Linked DNA regions of Oryzias latipes. The protein of the gene in region 2 interacts with the protein of the main gene of each other region in a biochemical or structural test. Links are inferred from orthologs where the notes say so. Each region holds a gene or a part of one and is shown on either strand. Other genes may lie near its edges.

Region 1 (15,812 bases), on a different chromosome or scaffold from region 2:
GTTTAATAAGAGAAAGTCAGTGAGCTGTTGGTAGACAACTTTTTCAAGGACTTTTCCTAAAAATGGCAGATTAGAGATAGGTCTGTAATTATTCAGTACAGTGGGATCAAGACCGTTTTTCTTCAGGAGAGGTTTAATGACTGAGGTTTTTAAGGCCTCTGGAAATATTCCAGATTGAAGAGACATGTTAACTATTTGAGTAATTGATGGCAACACACTGTTCAGGACAGACTTTAGAAATCTAGTGGGTAACACATCAAGGCAGCATGTAGACGAGCTCAGACGGGTGATGGTCTCTTGGACAGTTTGGTCAGTGACAGGTACAAAGTGAGTCAGCTTAGAGTGAGTAGGTGGCCGTTCGATAGTTATATGTGTTGTGGAGTTGATGGCTTTTTTAATGCCCTGAACCTTGTCATTGAAAAATACAGCAAACTCATTACATTTAGGTGTACAAACCAATTCTATTGGTAGCTGGGTTGGAGGGTTAGTTAATCTGTTAACTGTTGTGAACAGGATACGAGAGTTGCTGCTGCAACTTCCAATTATTTCAGAGAAGTACCTTTCCCTTGTTCTGCATAATATCTGGTTATAAGCGTACAACTCCGCCTTATATATTCCATAATGAACCTGGAGTTTTGACTTGCGCCACTTTCTACAGCGCCCCCACCTGATAACGTGGAGTGACGTGTTCACTGCGATCTCTCTCCCGTCACCGGGATGGATGGGGCCCGGCGCGACTGTCGCTCTGCCCTAGGAGGGGCTGGCCCACATACAACAGGCCTAGTTTGTGTAAATCGTAGTCTGTGTGTAGATTTGAATATAATCACGGGATTTTATTGTGTTTCCTATATAATGACATGTTCATTTATAGAAAAGTTTGAAATGTCAATCATCTGTTGAATTTTATGATTATTTTACTGTATCAGCTAAGATGTGTCTCTGTTTACTGCCTTTTTTAATATAGCATCAATCTTTGCATACGTTGGATAATGCTAACAGGCTGGCATAGTCTATGTAATTCATTGGCCTCAGTGAAAAAGGAATTAAAAATTAAAAAAAAAATTCTACCATGAGCTACAAAGACAGGTTTTAGCTAATTTTTAGCTTGGAAATATTCAAAATAAATGAAAATAATAATAATAATCAATTTTATTTATTTGGCGCTTTTCTCGGAACTCAAGGTCAACGTATGTAATAGTCACAGTAAAACAATAGCACAGCAGTAAAGTGTACAGTAAAATATGCACTTGTAAAAAAATAGGCCAAATTATTTCTATTTAGAAACTTTTTTACAACATTCAAATATGATAAATATTTTATATTAAAGTCCTTAAGTTCCTACCATGAAGTGCAGAAACTTGTATTTGTTTTTCCAGGGTTTTTAGCTAGTTTCAATGGATCCGTTCCTCTCTCCTTAACCTCACCCTGTCACATGGGCTGAGCAGCACAGTTCAGATTCTGTTCACTCTGAGTGCCACTGCACTGCTTTACTACTACATCCGGACCTGCAGGACAGACCCTGGTTTCATCAGAACAACAGAAGAGAAGAAGAAAATGGTGGGAAGCCAGTAAAGACCTGCAGGCCGGCGTAACCTCCGACCTCTTAACTGTGACGGCTGTGTGACCCAGTCGTGTTCTGTGTTCCAGAATGTGGTGGTGTTGGCCGAAGCTGGCTTTTTGGATCCAAGGGTATTCTGCACCTCTTGTATGGTGAGACTGACGGTGCAAAACTCATTTTTAATGAAAAAGAAAGCAGCCACTGGTTGTTGACGTGGTTGTGGTGTTTGCAGGTGAGAAAGCCACTGAGGGCTAACCACTGCTTCAGCTGTGACGCCTGTGTGGCAAAGCAGGACCACCACTCTGCCTGGCTTAACACCTGCATCGGTATGACACACAAGCACTTTCTATTTTTACAAGACCTGATCAAATGCAGCAAGTCCATTTTTACCCTTTAACTCTGAAGAGCTAAATGATTAATGTTATCACAAGGGTTTGTAGTTATGACGGGAAGCGTTTTGTGTTCTTGAAGGTGCAAGGAACCACCATTTCTTCATCCTGTTTCTGCTCTCGCTGGTGTTGACGGGGTGTTGGATGCTGTTCGGCTGCGTCTCCTGTGAGTGGCTGCACAGCAGCGTAACCCAATCAGAGGCTTTTATTTGTGTTTTTTTCTTGTTTTGTTTTTCTAACGTGCTCCATGTCTTTAGACTGGTCCACTCATTGTTCACTGCACTATGAGGATCAGGGCCTGTGGAGCGCGGCCTCAGCTCTGTTCGGCTGCTCTCCTTGGGTCCTCGCCATCTTCCTGCTCTCTCTTTATCACACCTGCTGGTCTACCTTGGTCTTGATGATCCAACTCTATCAGGTAATTCCCAAATATCATGTGATTGGGAAATAGCAGAAAAGTAGAGTCAGTGTTGCTTTATTGGATGGTTGGATCCAAACATGTCAAATGAGTCATTTGGTTCTTTTTTCTGCAACATTTGATGCTCTGTGATTGTTTGTTTTGGGTTTTTTGTGCAGATCGCCTTCCTGGGGATAACTTCAGCAGAAATTCCAACTTTAAGGTTCCAACAAAGGAAATTCAGACCCTCTGCCTCTTTGAAACAAAATCCTTTCAAGTAAGTCAATTGTTGTGAATTTTCTGTTCCCACCTGTTCCATTGGTGTGGGAGGGTTTTCCAACCTCGCTGCTCCGCCCCTTTCATAGTTACTAGAAACTGTTTTTTTTCCAAGAAAGCTGAGTTTAACAGGATAAAAGACACCAAAACAGAAGATAGCTGGTTCAAAGCTGGTCCATCTAAAAGCAGGACTTCATCTCGTTTAAAGTTCCAATCCTCCCTGGATCTATTTTCAAAGTGGTCTTTTTATCACAATTATTCCGTTCTTAGTAAAACATTTTAAATGTTTTGAAGGTTCTAGTTTCTGCAGAGCAGGAGGAGTTCATTATACATTGACCTCTGAGTTATGGGTGGGACTGTTTCCCATCATCCCTTTGTTTACACTCTCTCCTGTTAGCTTACAGCCACTCACATCCCCAAGGTAACATTAGCAGAGCAAAAAAAGGCAAGCAACATTGGAGCTATCAAGATGTACAGTTTAGATTCAGATTAGTCCAGATTCCAGCTCAGACCAGGACACAAAGACCTTCATGGATCTGTTCGTCTGACAGTGGATAAATCAGAATGGAGCAGGGCAGGGAGATTGTGGCCTGCTGACTATAGTTTGTTCATAACAACTACTAGCTTTTTTCATCAGCTCCTGATTTACAACAATTTTTATAAAGAAATACTCAAACATAAATTTAATCTCAAATTTCTTTATTTGTTCTCCATCATGAGAAACATGCTACAAAAACATGTTAAAACCACCAAAAACACATTGGAATGGGTCTTTAATTCATGTAGTGTAATGTTAGTGTAACTGCAGTGAAAGCTTTCTGTCAGTTGTTTGAATCCTGGTTCAAAGACGTCCTGTGTTCTCCTCTCTTCGTCCTCTTACAGCATGGGTGTGGTGCAGAACCTGGTGTCGTTCTTTCAGCTGCGCTGTTGTGGATTCTGCAAGCCAGTTGTTACGGACTGGACGCAGCAGCAGCACCCGCCGCAGTGTGACCAGTTTTTGTTCGATCAAGGCAACATGGTCTGACCTCCTCCCCCCTATCCCTCAGGGTCAGACTCTGGTTCTGGACCAAAAGCACAGAATGTATTTATTCTTGTACGTGTTGGTTCCTCTCAAAGGGAGGCTGTGGTACTGTGGGAACACAAACCAACATGTGGACTCTGTCATTCAGCTGATCTCTGTACAGACTGCTGCTGCTGCCTTATACTTGACCGAAGTGAGGAAAGGGAACATCAGATCCATGGCAACGTGGATGAATAACCATTAAAGTCCTAAGCTGTAATTGAAAGGATGTGCTGTTTATATATTACAGAAAATCTAAAGCCTATTTTTATCATCCGTTCTGACATTTAAAAACAATCTTTGTATGTGTACGATGGTTTTATCACTTTTGTAAGAGTTGCATGTGTTTATTAACAACCACTATGATGGTTCAATAAAGCAACTTTGTGCCTGTTTTTGGATCAGCCTCTGCCTGGAGTAACTCATCAGCAAATCGTTGCCTTCTAGCTCCTCCCTTTAGGGGGCGACACAGTAACTCATCTACTTACAGCATGTCTGTCGTCCTCGTCAACACTGACCACCCTCAAGTCCTTAAATGTATTTATTTATTTGAACTTGTCCTGTCCCACACCTGAGCAAACAGATCCGAGCTGAAGGCCTCTTGTGTTGGACAGATGTTTAACAGGAGGTTATGAATCTTCACACGTGAAGTTCATATTTGTATACAGTGATCCCTCGCTATAATGCGGTTTGTTTTTCACGGTTTCGCTACTTCACGGATTTGCATCGTGCATTGTGTTCTGTATTCTGATTGGCTAAAAAGTCACTCAGCTTCTTCTCTACCTGTGCATCAATAATGTTGCAGTTTAATATGTACACATAAGTAAATCAGCTTGCCAAATTTACAACATGATGTACGTGCAAATCATCTTGCAATTTCGAGTTTCTCTAAAACCCATAGAAAAAAGAGCAACAACTGCCTATCACTATGTTCTTCCCCCGAACAAACACACCTGCACCGCTGGCTTTAAAAGAAGAAAACACTGCAGAGCGGAGTCAGGATGCAGCGGCTCAGTCTGAATAGCAGTGAAATACACCTGAGTCACTATTTGTCCAACTGTACTTTGTATTTTTGTTTCATAATCATTTTAAATTTTCTCCCGTTTAATCCAATACTCGGGTCGCGGTGGGCGGGGCTAATCTTCGCGATTTGAAGCCTTCTGTTCACATTGATGATTAAAATTATCATTTGACAGTACAGTACAGAAGTTATTTGTTGAAAAAAAGTTTCTAAAGTACTTTTATTTGTGAAACAAATGCTTGAGCCTGTAAAATGGTTTGTTCTTTCTTTTCAATGTATAATAGAGTATTTAATTGTATAATAATTGTAAAAAAAAAAATACAGGTTTCTACTTCACGGATTTTACCTATCACGGGTCCTTTTTGGAACGTAATCCCCGCGAAAAACAAGGGTTTACTGTAAACCCTTTTTGCATTTGAGGCTAAGCTTTCTTTATAATTATATTTATATACATTCCTTGTTGGACAGAAAGAAGATAAAGGGAGAAAGTTGGATGTTACAGATAGAGGGGGGGTCGTTAATACAGAGTCACAACATAAGAGTGTCATAAGTATATGGGGGGTGCCCCCACCCCCAGATGCAGGCCGGGACCACTCCTCTGGCTGTGGCTTTATTTGTTTTTTTTTTTTCTGTTTTGTGTATCTTGTTTGTATCAGAGTGGGACCTCTGTGTTTTTGTGGATCGTTGTGTGTGTGTGTGTGTCTGTTTGATTATTTTCAGGTGTGGGGCTGAGAAGGTGTGGCTTCCATTGGACCCAAGCTGATGGAGGCAGCCTTTGAAAGCACTAGGTAGACCTCCAACCTGCGAAAAGGTGACTTTCTGCAACCTGCCGCCACTGCAGCTTGGTGCTCTACGCCACCTGCTTTGTAGTTTGTGTTGGACGATTGCACAGTTTTAGTCTTTTGTTCGTAGTTACGGTATGTTTAAGTGAGGCTTTAGGGGTGAACTGCCTTTTACTTTCACATCTGTTCTCTCCTGTTTGTTAGTAGGGACTTTAGTGTTTTGTCATTGATTTCCCTTTTCTTTCATTCACAGGTTCAGATTTATTTTTCTTGAATGTATTAGTAGACATGCTTTGTGAGTGTATGACACTTTTTTCCCAACACTGCTATGCTTTTAACAAATTTAGCTCTGACTTTCTTCATTTGTGGCTTCCAGCTTATGGTCCATAATTACTCCAAGGAACTTAGTTTCAGTCACTCTTTAACCACATGAATATTGATGGCAACTTTTACTTCCAGATTTGCAGGAACGTGGCAACTTTCAAAAATCATGAATTAGTTTTAACACTGAGTGAGAGTTTATTTATGTCAAACAATTGTTTTAGTTTCCCTAATTAAAACTATTTACTAGTTTTACAACTTTCCTGAGATTCTCCCCTGTACATACTATAATTGTGTCGTCGGCATATAAAAAGTAATTAAGTGTATTTGACACCATGTGTATGTCATTTAGATATAGGATGAACAGTTTTAGACCTAATATTGACCCTTGTGGTACTCCAGTTGTCCAGTTGTTTTCCAGTTGTACAAACTGTTGCCTGTTTTTAATCCTACTGTTGAACTAAATTAGTACCAGTTCTTGTTTTCCATATCTTTGCAATTTGTTTTAATAAAATGTTATGATCAATAGTGTCATATTACTGGGAATTTCTGATTTGAAGACCAGAAATAAAATAAAAAAAACTCTGGGGAAAAAAGTATTTTGTTAACATTGAGGAAGCCAGAAAAGCGCTATACAAGTTCACAGCATTTACCATTATTCATTCTGAAATGCTCAATGTATACTTTTAAATTTAAGTGTTATGGGGAAAAAAATAACACAGTTTTCTTATTTTAATCACAGAAGAGTAGCCCTTAAGTGGCCCTTAAGTCTCTGAAGGTCGAGTACCCACAGGTTCACAACGGCTTAGGAAGTGCTTGTAATTTAGCCAATTACAATCAAGAAATCATAGCTCTTAGAATTTACGTATCATTGAGTTTAGGACAGGAGCCTGCAGACAGGTAGAAATTTGAATGTGGGGCCACATTTGGCCAGACTTCAAGACGTGCCTTCTCTAGACGTATTTACTGGTAGCTCCAACCTCAGCATCCTTTTATCAACATAATCACTGTTCCTCCTCTGCATTTATCTCCAGAACATCTGCCGTGATCTGTTCCTTTTGATGGATTCATTCCTGATCCATCCAACATCTTCACCTCTGCTACATCCAGCATCTATCTCCTGTCTCTGCATTAGAGTCTCTAAACTAGGGCTGCTCATTCCTGGTCCTCGAGGTCTACCACCCTGACTGTTCTCCAGATCTCCAAGCCCTGCTAGCTGCTGATTAGCTCAATCAGATATCTCCAGATTCTGATTGAATGAACACACCTGGTCCAGGTAATCAGCAGCCCTGCTCTAGACCAACAACATGGTCGCTATCACCACAATCTTCTACACCTCTCCTTTTGTCCTTGGTGACACTCTTTTTGAGAAACCTTCCTCCACCTGTTTCATCCTCTTTATCTCTTCCCTACACCCTGTTGCTCTGGATTGTAGACCCTAAGTCCTTAAAGTCCTCCACCTTCTTCTCATCTGTTCCCTGTAACCTTCCTGTTCCGCTTGAGTTCCTCTCATTTACTTACAGACTGTTCTGCTGCCGCTGACCTTCATTCTTTTCTTTTCCAGAGCAAACCTCCACCTCTCTAGATGTTCCTCCACCCGTTTCCTTCTCTCACTACAGATCACAATGTCATCTGCAAACATCATGATCTGCATTAATTGTGGTTCTAATTGAAACCCCTCTGTCACACACTACACCTGTTCTACAGCTCTCATACATGTCCTGCACAAATACAGTTCCTTCTCTTCGAATGAAACATACATACGGATGCCCTCATCCTAGCTTCCACTACTCTTCCCCATAACTTCATGGTATTACCCATCAGCCTCACTCCTCGGCACGTCTGCCTTTTTCTTAAAATGGAACCAGAACTCTTCTCCTCCATTCCTTCTCATTGTCTCACTCTCCGAGATCTTGTTGAACATTCCAGCCAGAAGGTCAACTGCCACTCCCCCTAAACACCTCCATACCGTCACAGGTAAGTTGTCAACACAAACAGCCTTTCCACTCTTCATTCTCTTCAATCTCTTCCTCACTTTATCCTGGTTGATCTTTGGTGCTTCCTGTTCTATAATGTCCACCTCTTCTCCTTTTTTTATGGTATTCTTCTGATTCATCAACTATCTGATCGGAAGTTTGTAGGTTTGGCTCCTGCCTTGCCTGCCCATGTGTTGAAGTGTCCTTGAGCAGGACACTGAACCATACGTTTTCTCCGGCGGTTATAGGTTCGTGCCGGTGTTCAGCAATGGAGCAGCCATCAGTATGTTTATGTGTGTGTGAATGTGACTGTAAAGCCCTTTGGACCTTTGAAAAGTGCTATATACGTCTACGCCATTTAACATTTTACCATTTGTCCTTGATCCCCCTGACCTGCTGCACATCCTTCCATTTCTGTTACTCTGCCTCACCTGTACAGATTATTCCCTTCCTCCTTTGTGTCAGAACTGCAAGTTTTAACACGGCCTTTGTTAGTGTATTTTTTCACCTTCACCTTCAACTTGTGCTGCATCTTCTCTGCTACTGTCTTCGGTCCTCTCAGTGTCCCACTTTTTCTGAGCAAACCTTTTCCTCTTAACACCCAACCCCTGAACTTCTTCATTCCACCCCCACATCTCCTTATCTGCTTTCCGCATTCCAGATGACACACTGACCACCTTCCTCCCAGTCTCCCTGATGTTTTTAGCTACTTAGTTTCAGCTTAATGATTTATAGAGTTTGGCTTTGGATGGCTGTTACATTTTGTTGTTCACTTATTGCTATAATATCTGTAATTGATTTTCACACATGACCCCAGATTAAAGGAAGACTGAACCGATTGTAGCAAGCATCTTTAATGATGTAATCCATTGTGCTGCTACTAGCTGGGACAACATGCAACAAACATATTCCACCCACTCTGGACTCTAAAAAAGATCTCAGTTTGCATTTGAAACTTTTTTTTTCATTCATTGAATCCACTTAGAGACATTTCTGTCTTGAATGCTCTTTGTCTGGTGTAGCGATCATTAGCTGGTGTTAAAGTGAAGGACGTGCCTCCACAAAGACGGCAGTCCTACGGGGTTCACTCTCGTTCTTCCAACATGGCAGCGTTTCCTAATCCAAAGCCTTTTGGACCAAAGTTTTTTGCGTAACAAACTGAAAAGGAAATAAGATCAGACGGCTCCTTGAGTTCCAGGCAGCGTTTCTTCAGACCAACAAATGGATGTTCTCTACGAACCTTTGCAGTACAGCTCTCCATCCTTGTCAGTCACTGTGGTCGACTCCAGGCTTTTGCCACAGAGAGCGCAGCGGAAGCAGGTTTTATGCCACGCCTGTACACAGAAAGTTATGGCAACGCAAGTTGGATTGTTTGATTTTTCATCTGACAAGTACCATTTCAAGACCCACTCCGATCATATTTTTTTCCTTCAAAAGAGTGCCCAATGGCATTTTAATTATTATTTTTTAGCAAAAATCAAGAAACCTGTCTTGTTTTCTACGACATAATTTCTGCAGAGCAGCAGTCGATCAGAAATTCACCTCTGAGTCGTGGGTGGGACTGTTGGCGCCAAGTAAGCCTGCCCCCACTTCCCATTGTCTATCTGTTAACACTCTCTCCCGCTAGCTTACAGCCCCCTCACACCCCCGCCTTAACATTAACCGCTGCAGCAAAAATGGTAAGTAATATCAGAGCTATCCAGCAGTACAGTTTTAGCCAGATTTCAGCTCAGACGAGGAAAACAATGACGTTCATGGATCTATTTGTCTGGAAGTAGATGAATCAGAATGAAGCAGAGCAGGGAAACTGTGGCACACTAAGTGGATTTTATACATCACAAATACACTCTTTTTCAAAAGAATTTAAACGTTTTTCCACATCTGCTTCTGTTTTACAACAGTTTTATGTGTAAAGAAATACTCTTAGCTCTTAAGCTTACTGGTAATTTTATTTATAAATGTCCATCTTATGAAAAAATGCCACAAGAAGTTGTTAAAAACACAATTTTTTTCTAAGTGGGTAAAAAAAGGTTTTTCAAACCAGTGCAGAAAACCAAATTCGTTCATTTGTGAGACATTTCTGCCTCTCCTTCTTCAGAGGTAATTTTTACACTTTTTTTTTTTTTACCTCTCATCGTTTAATAACTCTATTTTTCTTTAGCTTTACAGGTCCAAAAAGACTAGTTTAGGTAATGAAATCCCACAATTTAAAGCAATCACATACAAGTACAACAATTTACAAATGGCTTACTGTATGCATATTCCAGAAAATAAAAAATCTAACTTAACTCTACACATCTGACTGATGGATTTTTCTGCTTTCACAACCTGGAAAATATTTTAAACTTCACTACATTGAAAACTGAAACACTGTCAAATCATCAAATCTATACTCTTTGATCATCATCAAAGAGTATTTATTTTATTTTGATATCAAGTATCAAACAGTTTTCCTACTGTCACTGGAGAGAAATGTGCAGGAGTATCAGACAGTCTGGTCTCAAAGTCCAAGAGCTGAAATACTCCAAACCGGAGATAGATGGAGCCATTTGGTCACGAGAAGTGGCCCACACAGCTGGCTGAGGCCAGGGATGCCTTTAACATACCGTACTTGTCTACGTTTCTTTGTTTTCCAACCCTCTGAGAAAATCCTCTGGGGTCCACGTTCAAAGAGCTCCACCAGAACAGCAGAAAACTATATTTAAAAACACTTTAATTCTAATTAGCTGATACTTCCCTATGTTCAAAATTTACACTTTTATCTGCCAGATCTGCCAAAATTCTCAGCATATGAAAAAAAAGGATTTGCTGACTTTGTCATGTTTTTTATTTGCTGTTTTACATTAATTCAAAGTAAAGTAGGGTTTTCATTTGCATCAAATAATTCTTTGGTCAGAAATGATCTCTTTGAGCATTGTGGGTTTCGTCAACAGAGAAGTTTGGATCACATGTGTCGGCTTCCAGCCACTAAAACTGTCTGGTCATCTTAAACGAGTGTGTGTTTGTGTGAGCGTGTGTGTGTGCAGGAAAAAAGATTTAGGATTGGAATTCCTGAAAATCTGTACCAGATTATGAAAAATTATGTGTGTCTGATAAATAAGACTTGGAACAAGATTAATTTCACAGAGTGTGCTAATGACTTTTGTATATGTTTTGGTTGCATTCAGCAGTTGAGAATTTTCTCTACGTGTTTGTTCCAAAACCTTTTGGTTTGGAGGAGGAACATGAAAGCTGCTGGAATCAATAACTGTTAGCTCTGGGGATTGTTGTAAATGCACATAAAAATACTGATAGACCGAAAACATCCGGAGTCAGAGGGAGTGTTTACCTTTCCTGCTCCCATCACCTTCTCTGCTGCGTAGACAGCTTTGGAGCAGCGGGGGCAGTGGTCTGATCCCCCAAGCTTCTGTGAAAGCTTATTGGTGCTGGGGTTGGAAGAGACCGGACGGGGCTTAGATCTAGACAAAAATGGTGGGCCCAGTTAGGTTTTAAAGAACGAACATGTGACTCTGCATCTTTGGTTACAATTGCAAAACATGAAACGGATCAGCTAAAGTTCAGATGTCCCGTTTGAAGCTTTGTCTGTATACGAGAACTGGAGTGAGGATGACGTCACCCAGCTCCAACCAGAGGAAGTCAATTCAGTCGCCATTTTTTTCGATACAGACGCCACCATGAACCCAGACAACGTCAGAAAGCAGTGATTGGTCTGAGTCAGTCTAAATCATTATTTCTATGGTAACAACTCTCAGCAATTAGAAGGGAGCTTGTTGAAACACAAAACACATTGACACCTTTGACTTGACAGTAGGCTACATGAAATCTGTCAATCAAATGTTTTGAACGTTGGACATGGGGGCCTGCAGATACTTCATGCTTTATTGAGGCATCTGACTAGTCAGTTTATACCTTGAATAACTTGCCATAAAGGAAAATGTCATTTAAAAAATGAGGATCAAGAACATGTTAAAAAAAGGATCAGACCAACAATAGTTATGACCAATAGACTGACTGACAGCTGTTTAGTTTTTCTATAGAAGTCTATGGGATTTTGGCTTCTTGGAGCCAGCAGGTACTTCCTGTTTGGAACCCCAGGGGGGAGGGGTCACTCCGTCCAGTTCTCATCTACAGTCAATAGTTTGAAGTGTTTGCTGTCATGGTAACAGCCAAAGAAAAGGTTTGTAGAGCTCCTCCACCAAATGGTCTTTTTTTTTTGTTTATATCTACAGTAAAATATAAACAGGGCTCTGCAATCAACCTTCTTTACGTACTCTTGTGGCTGCAGGTCTTCTTCCGGTCCTGCAGGATCAGAGCTCAGAGCTCCTGCTCCTTGACCGTATCCATAGCCTTTTGGTCCATACTTCTTGCCATAACAAGTCTTGCAGTAAATCTCTGAGTCATGGGCTGCAACGGTGGTACTGTCCAGCCCTTTTCTGCAACTCACTGCATGAAAGTAACATGAATAGTCCCTCATGAAACCTGGCACAGAGGAATCACTCCATTACCCTGAGTGAGGAATGCCATGAAGGGGGTAATGGAAGTTAAATAAAGCTGACAGCCAGCTGCTTTTATCATGGAACAGCAACACATGATGTCTTGTGTTGCTATTTGTAGAAAGAGAGAGGAGTGTGAGGTAAATGCTGGAGAAAAGATGACCACTTAGCCGATGGATGAGCTTATCGAAAAGGTCTTTTAGAGTTTCCACTGGAACAACATGTCAGTCGGTTATCCAGTTACCTAACAAGCCAGAATGTTAATGTCTCTGCACAAGCAAGTGTTCAATTAATACAGAGATTTAGCAAAAGCTTGGTTGCAGAAGGTTTAAAAACCCGCAGGAGGAATTTACAGCGTTGCTAAAAGGATTTTTTTTTTGAATATTCAAGGTGACTACGTCTTCCTGAGGTCAAAGGTCAATGAAACTTTGGTTGTGGTTGGAGATTGAAGCTAGTGATATGTGTGTGAAATTTTCTGAAGATTGCTTAAACAAAAGTTTTTTCCCTATATTGCAGGAAAATGTGAAAATCACAAAATTTGACACTTTGCCACAAAATGGCCGCCAAACCGTAGGTCCCGTGTCCATCCCTTAATAATTTTAAAACCTCCTTTGGATCTCCCCAACACGTCTGCTGGGAGATAATGAATGGGGTCAAAGAATTTTTGACCCCATTTTTTACGGTTTCGCCCACAATTATGTCGTCATTTTTTCGTGTGTGTGTGTGTGTGAGGGGGTGGTTCACTTTTCCCAAAAATCATTTTCACTGGGTACTAGTTGCGTGCAAATTTTGGTGAGTTTTGGAATATGTGCTGGGGGTTACATTTTTGCTAAATCACACTGTAAGAAAGAAGAATTGTGAACACAAAGTGATATTGGACTCCTGCGGGACAGAACAATAATAATCAAGACATAAAATGCTAAACTGAAAGTGAGGGGAAAAAATTTAAAAACTCATAATAAACTAATTAAACACTTAAATAATTAAATGGACGGAAATTTTAGATGAGAGAAGCTCTAAAACAGTGTCCAGAATATTTCTAATTTTTCTCTTTGATCTGAGACAACAATGAACTTTGATCAAATCCTGGGGAAATATTTCTACCAGATGAGACACTGACAAGTGAAACCATTGCAACAAAGAACATTTTCTCACTGCAGATGAAGCAGGTTTTGTGGAAGCTCCTCCCATTGCACTGGATCTCCTCAGCATGGTACACAGTCTTCATACAGGCTGCACAGGAAGCTCCTCCTCCCCAGTTAGGCATCCCAAAGCAGCTTGAAACAAAGACAAACGATCGTATTAGTCTACAAACTCTTTTTAAATTCAGGAGTAGTTGTGCTTTGGGCGTCTTGACAGTTCTAAGCAGAGCAGTGACACACAAAAACCTTAAAAGATTTAGTGAGTGACATTATTTTTTCTGATTTCATGCCAAAAATATTCAGTTGAGCATAACAGGACTGGGATGAGAATAAGGAGCTCCAGGTTTGAGGCCATGGTTCTGAGCCTGAAGCAGTGGAGGCCCGCATGCTGGTGCAACATCTTGTGTCGGTTTGTCAAGCAAAAAATAGTGTGATGAAGAAAAAGTCCCTGAAGGGGGCGCCACATTGAATCCTCTGCCTAAATCTAATCCTCTCCTCTGCATTGTCCTCGTTTACACCAACCACCCCCATGTCCTCCTGTTCTCTACATCCATGAACCTCCTCTTTGGTCTTCCTCTCTGTGCTCAGCATCCTTTTCCCAACATCACCATTGTCCCTCCTCTCAACGTGTCCAAACCATCTCTATCTGAGACATAGAGGGTCGTAGGGAGGTACGGCTGCATCTGAAAGGGAGTGCGGGTGTGTCATACACCCACCTCAAGGGAAGTCATAAAAATGTATTGTCCGATTGTGTGTGTGTGGTAGGCGTATCGTGAAGTTTCATAAGGATAATGTAAATTGCACCAAAGTTAAGGCCCGTACACACCGGGACGAATATTCGCCAGGCGTTATTCGCCAGCGTTTTTCGCCACGTTTTTTGTGTTCACACCCAGGCGATTTTCGCTGACGGTGAGCCGAGCGAACATGCAATTTCATTCCCTGACATTAGATGGCGCTTAATGTAAACAGAAATACTCCTGTACACAAGGTGGCGCTGCGCAACTTTACGATTCTTAAAGTCGCTTTTCACTCAGAAGAAGAGAGCAAGTATTTACGCGCTTGTCAGAATAATACAAAGAAAACATGAATATTTCAAGCACCAGTAGCTCCAACTGGTACTTGGTAAGGGGATATTTAAGAATATCCGTCATTATTTCTTTGCGGCAGTGTAGACGCTACTTGGCGTCTATCTTCTTCGCTGGTATGTGTGCTCAGCAAGGCAGTTTTGTGTTTGAGCGCCCCCAAGTTGTGTTTTACTGTAACTTCAGAAGCTCCAGACACGTGTGCAAAAGCGCCATTCTCATTGGTCGAATAGATTTCGACGCGTCGAAAAAAAAAAACGAACCCGAGGCGTTTTTTTTTTTGACGCTTTGGCGCGTGGCGTTTTTTCCCGTCGGTGTGCACACTCTCATTGGTGCCCTTTGTTAGTCACGAGGCGTTAAACGTCGGCGAAAATCGCCGGCGAAATTCGTCCCGGTGTGAACAGGCCTTTAGGGTGATGCTGTTGTACGATGTCCTTACGCCAAACTCTAATCATTAGTAAGGTGGGAGTACCTGGACCCCTACCGACTCATGCAAATGCTGCAGGCACGGGGTGTGCAGATAATACCTAACGGCCCATAGGAAGCCAGTGGAATGCTTACAAACCACACTTTGTCTAATTTCCTCAATTCTACAATTTAGGCTGCATGCACTTCTCACGTGGACAGCACTAATGTGCTCCTCGTGGGCCGAGCAGGATTTGGATGGTTCAACTAATGAAAAATCGTACATGCCTGCATCTCACCTACTTCCCCCTTCCTTGCTGGAAGGGGGAAGTGAAATGTCACCTATATCATGCCCGTAGAAAAAAACCATGCTGACCGAGTAGTCCAAGTGGTCAACAATCTTAAAATTTTGTGCAGGGCACCTGCATGCCCCGCACAGGTTCACCCATTTTTCGCTGGCAGACAGCCTGTATCCACCCGTAAGGGCAGTCGTGACTAAAGTCAGAGAGCTCCAAAAGAACTGCTCAGTCAGCTCCCACCCTCACCTGGCTGAACTCAGGTCACTGAGGACCTGAGTTCAGCCAGAAACCAGGAATTTTCTGTCTTAACAATACAGGGAGAAAAAAATACTGAGCGAAGGAGAAATGGGCCATTCTGAAGTCATCCCTAAAAGCTGTAACCGCCTTAAATACGTAACTGAGGGAAGATGTTTCTAAGTTGCTGCCATCAATCTGCTTTGTTTCTCCGTCATTGTTTTTCTGACTTTTCACATTTTTTAATTATTTATTCCCTAATCATTAAAAGTGTTTTTAGTCTTAGTTTTTTAAAATATATTCTGTATGTTTTACTTTGGCCCTGAGACAGACTGGGGACTTGTTCAGGATGTACCCTGCTTCGCCAACAGTAGCAGGGA
Region 2 (4,232 bases):
TGTAAACTGCTGCTCGACAACAGCCAATGAAATCCAAACGATCGTCTGGCAAACTCGTCTGGTCTCACATGGGCATCACCCATTCAGTTGCCATGGAAACGTGCTGCAGCGCAGTCTCTTGGCTGACTTACTCCTCATCCGAAGAGAGCACAGTACATGAACAGTGGTTTGATAGACGGCTGTGCTTTTTATAAATCTATTTATTTTACAGTTTTTTTCCAAGGTGTGTAAAGGTGTAATGTGCTATGTGGCAGCTATGAGTACTGTGTCTTTATTCCAGGTGTGAAACAATGCTGACAAATCAAGATTTTATTATTTGGCTATCCAAAAAAAGTGTACTGTATTTATGATTCAATGTAAACATGAGTAAAGTTGTTTTTTAAAGATTTTGGAGGTTGGTTTTGTTATAAATTCAGACATCATCACCAGGCAAAGTATTGAAAAGGTTTTTTATAGCAAGAATTGAAAGGAAAATATCACTTTTGAAAACATCTACAAATGCACAACAATCTTAGTTATAAAAGTCAAAAATAAGTTAGCAAAAAAATAAAAAATAAAATTGCAAAACCACTCTGTAGAAAAAAAAGGGAACATATTTACATCACTGGCATTTATAACCTGTTTAAATTAAGCAGATCTTGGTCAAAACTGCCATGGTACATATTGGCCCCACAAACAATCTCATGTTTTGTTTAAACATTTAAAATTCACACAAAAAGAATGGAAAAATTTGGGAAAGGTTTTGAAAAGAGAAACATCTAATTTAAGTAAAGTGAAGAACCAAGCTTTGTCATATGAATCTTTGATTCTGGAAGCAAGCATACATGGTAATTAGGTGTTTTGGTTCATGCAATAACATCCTTGAGTCTGACAGGTGAGCTCCTGTTATCTACAGCTCTGAACTATGGGATAAGGCAGGCAATAAGGAAAAGAGGTCTCATTGTGTAAAGGAAGAATTGGTTTTGGCTTGAAGACCTAAGGAACAATAAAGTTTAATACAAACCAATGACAAATTTTTATAATTTTGCACAAGATAAAACACTCAAATCAGAATAAAAAAAGGAAACCTAGGTTTTTTGTTGCAATATTTGCCAAATGTTCATTTTTTGTTGTGTTTGTGAAGTTGAGCATCTGCTTGGATGGTTCTGCAGGTTACAGGCTCTATTTGGGAATGTCCACAGAAAAGGTCACAGGTCCGTCAGCCGCAGAGATGCCTTCCACAATAGAAGTCAAGGAGCGCATGTTCCTCTGCTCTGGAGAGTCACCAACACTCAGAAGATCTGCAGACAAGACCGGGTTCCACAGTCAAAACCAGTGAAGGTGTTCTAGTGACACCTCATGGGACCTTTGAAGAGTACTCACCCTCGCTGCTGTAGCTTTGCGGGCATTGGTCTGGAGTGCTGCTCCACTCGGGGCTGCTGCAGCAGGTGCTGCCTGAACTTGGTTCGCTTGACGATGACACCTGTTGCCATGGACACGCACAGACAGAAGTTGCTGTCAGTCACTGTTTTAATGCAGCACAAAACCTCGCAGATAAACACTGAAGTAGCCTCACACACTCAATCACTAATGCATCCTGTGGTTTATCAGAAGCAAATTAAAGTTTCCATCTTAAATTATGGTCATTAATAAGCTGTCGGTGTCACTGCAACTGTCACTTTTGGTTGATATAAATATTTTATAATTACATAATCCCAAATGGTTTAAAAAAGCACACATACATGTATATTCTTATTCTTGTTTTTTAAACATTTGGAATTTATATCTAAATAAAAATTCCGAAACATCCACAACCATCGGTTTTAGCAGGTCTTACAATGGGTTCGCTCATCAAGTTGCGCCCTGAAAAGGTTTTTTATCTGAAACCTAATTTTTCCATCTCTTGTAGCCAAGTTTGTAGCTTCTTGTCTTCCTTTTTCCAAATCAGTCAAAGGTTTCTGTTCTTGCTTTTCTTTGGCTGGTTTTGCTCTCTGTGACTTCTCCCCTCTCCTAAACCTGGTTCCATCCTACTTACTCTTGGCTGGGCCGGGCTGGGTCTGTAGTGCAGTCCCTGCTGCCCTGTCTCTGTGTCCTGCTGGTTGAGGGAGGACACCAGAGCCTGCAGCCTTTCAATGTACTGGATGGCGCTCCGCAAGATCTCCACCTTGGGCAACCTCTGGTTGGGGTTCATCAGGGTGCTCCTCTTCAGAGCGTCAAAGGCCTCATTCACTTTCTTTAGACGTCTCTTCTCCCTCAGCGTGGCTGCTCTTCGACGGTCCATGGTCACCGTCTTTCTTTTACACAGCTTACAGGCCCATGGCAAGCACTGCCCAGGGCAGTGAGACTCTGAGTGAGGTGACAGACTGGATGGAGATGATTTGTCCTCAGGTGCTGGCACTCCAACACCTCCAGGGAGGCCTCCGCACAAACCCATTATGGAGTTTCTGTCCTGGTACCCAGTTTGGTCGTATGCCCCGGGCAGGCGAGAGGGGAAGTAGCTGTCCCCTCCTTCATAGAAGCGCTGGTCAGGAAAGAAGTAAGGATTGGTCTCGAAAAGCTCCATGGTGGGCAACTGTGGTCTAAAAGTGAAGGAGCAAGGATCCCGCTTTCCCTTAGGAACCACGCTTGACTCGGTCTTCTTCTGTCCTGCTTCTGGAGCTTATGTTGGAGTGTCCAAGTGTATGCTTGTCTTCCTCCTGGCCTGAGTTTGTGATGAGTGGAAGACGTGTGGAGAACAACTGGTGTGGAGCAACTGTAGGCTGGCATTTAAACCCCTCTGCCTGTTGCAGGATCACAGGGTTAAATTTAGCACTTGCCTCCAGAAACCTGACACGACGTTTAGCTGTTGCTGCACATCTACACTTCATATCTCTGTTGGGCCTTGCTCTCTAGGGCTTTAAGACATGTTGGTGTGTTTGCATGTGTGTGCCCTTCTGCGGTTCCATGTTACCCATTTGAGTCTTGAGAGACCAGGATATGATCAAGTTGCTGTGGAACAGGAAATGATAACCTTAGATCAAATGTATTTGTCTTAATAAGATAATCCCAGACTAGATTCCCCCTTCCTGCCACTAAACACCTCATTCAGGAGGACACTCTGGGTGCAAAGGGGACACATGCAGGGACAGTATGTTGTGGCAAGACATTGAGAGTTTGTTTTTGTTTTGTGATGGCCACCAGAAACAATGTGGGAGAATTGACATAACTGTAAACTGACAGGCGACATTAAAGCAATTGATATGAAGCAGGCTTCTCTGTCTCTGTAGAAGACAAGTCTTTACAGGCAGCTCAGGAAGTTAAGATTGAAGCTAACGCAAGCTCACTCTGGAAAAGGATGGGACAGTATTGAGAGGACCAAGTAGGAAGGAAGGAACGTCCTAAATTATTCCAGACAGTTCTGGCGTTAGCTTGGCGGGCGGGTGTTAATCCTTCCAGGATGTCTCTAACCTCTAAGTTCGCAAGTTAATTTCGACCAACCTTTCCAAACATGGACACACAACCAAAAACATTTTTATTCAACAGAGAAGCAGCTACGGAATGGGTTGTTGCATCTTTGCATCACATTTTGTTTTTTTCCATAGGAATTATCACCTGGCATAGGTTTTGCCTATATTTTGTGTCCTTATAGTGTATTTGCTGCATTTTTATACTATTTATCTGTTATTATCTGCTGTTTTGTTATCTATCTATCTATCTATCTATCTATCTATCTATCTATCTATCTATCTATCTATCTATCTATCTATCTATCTATCTATCTATCTATCTATCTATCTATCTATCTATCTATCTATCTATCTATCTATCTATCTATCTATCTATCTATCTATCTATCTATCTATCTATCTATCTATCTATCTATCTATCTATCTGTCTGTCTGTCCCACTGCCCATCTAGTCAATCCAGGGCTATCTGCCACATGTTTCTATGCTGCCTGATACAACGAATACGTCCAGGAAAAACAAGTCTGGACATGACAAACCTTAAAAAGCCCACTGCAGTCATGACAGAAATCCATTTAAGCGTGTCATCTCGAGGGACGTGGCGTCTCATTAAAGCGAAGTAGACGTTAATTTGTAATTTTCTCTCCTTTGTTGTTTACAGAAGTGAGTCGCTGTCGGTCTCAAAATAGAAGAAAAGTTTCAGTTCTGGACAGGCAGATGTCTACTTTTATGCTTGTCATCTAGTCTTGAGGTTTGGGCTCTGGTTAATGCAAAGTAGGATGCTGGCACAGGACTGCAGAGGGCTGTCA

Evidence for each region.
Region 1: the proteins of myog (region 2) and csrp3 form a complex in vitro, tested with the Homo sapiens proteins (2 studies listed by BioGRID and IntAct, with this or other methods). The link is inferred for Oryzias latipes from reciprocal best matches to the Homo sapiens genes MYOG and CSRP3.

What each region holds. Positions count from the first base shown.
Region 1 is NC_019861.2:6,149,345-6,165,156, forward strand, and holds the end of csrp3 (cysteine and glycine-rich protein 3), read right to left. Parts: intron 13,548-15,812; 5' UTR 13,538-13,547; coding exon 13,426-13,537; intron 12,221-13,425; coding exon 12,049-12,220; intron 11,236-12,048; coding exon 11,106-11,235; intron 9,112-11,105; coding exon 9,018-9,111; intron 8,936-9,017; coding exon 8,862-8,935; 3' UTR 8,612-8,861; downstream 1-8,611. Other genes in the region: palmitoyltransferase ZDHHC13, read left to right, coding at 1,433-1,557, 1,648-1,710, 1,791-1,884, 2,030-2,113, 2,205-2,362, 2,521-2,618, 3,500-3,641. UniProt on the Homo sapiens protein: Positive regulator of myogenesis. Acts as a cofactor for myogenic bHLH transcription factors such as MYOD1, and probably MYOG and MYF6.
Region 2 is NC_019863.2:28,569,191-28,573,422, forward strand, and holds myog (myogenin), read right to left. Parts: upstream 2,801-4,232; 5' UTR 2,543-2,800; coding exon 2,015-2,542; intron 1,463-2,014; coding exon 1,363-1,462; intron 1,281-1,362; coding exon 1,162-1,280; 3' UTR 436-1,161; downstream 1-435. UniProt on the Homo sapiens protein: Acts as a transcriptional activator that promotes transcription of muscle-specific target genes and plays a role in muscle differentiation, cell cycle exit and muscle atrophy.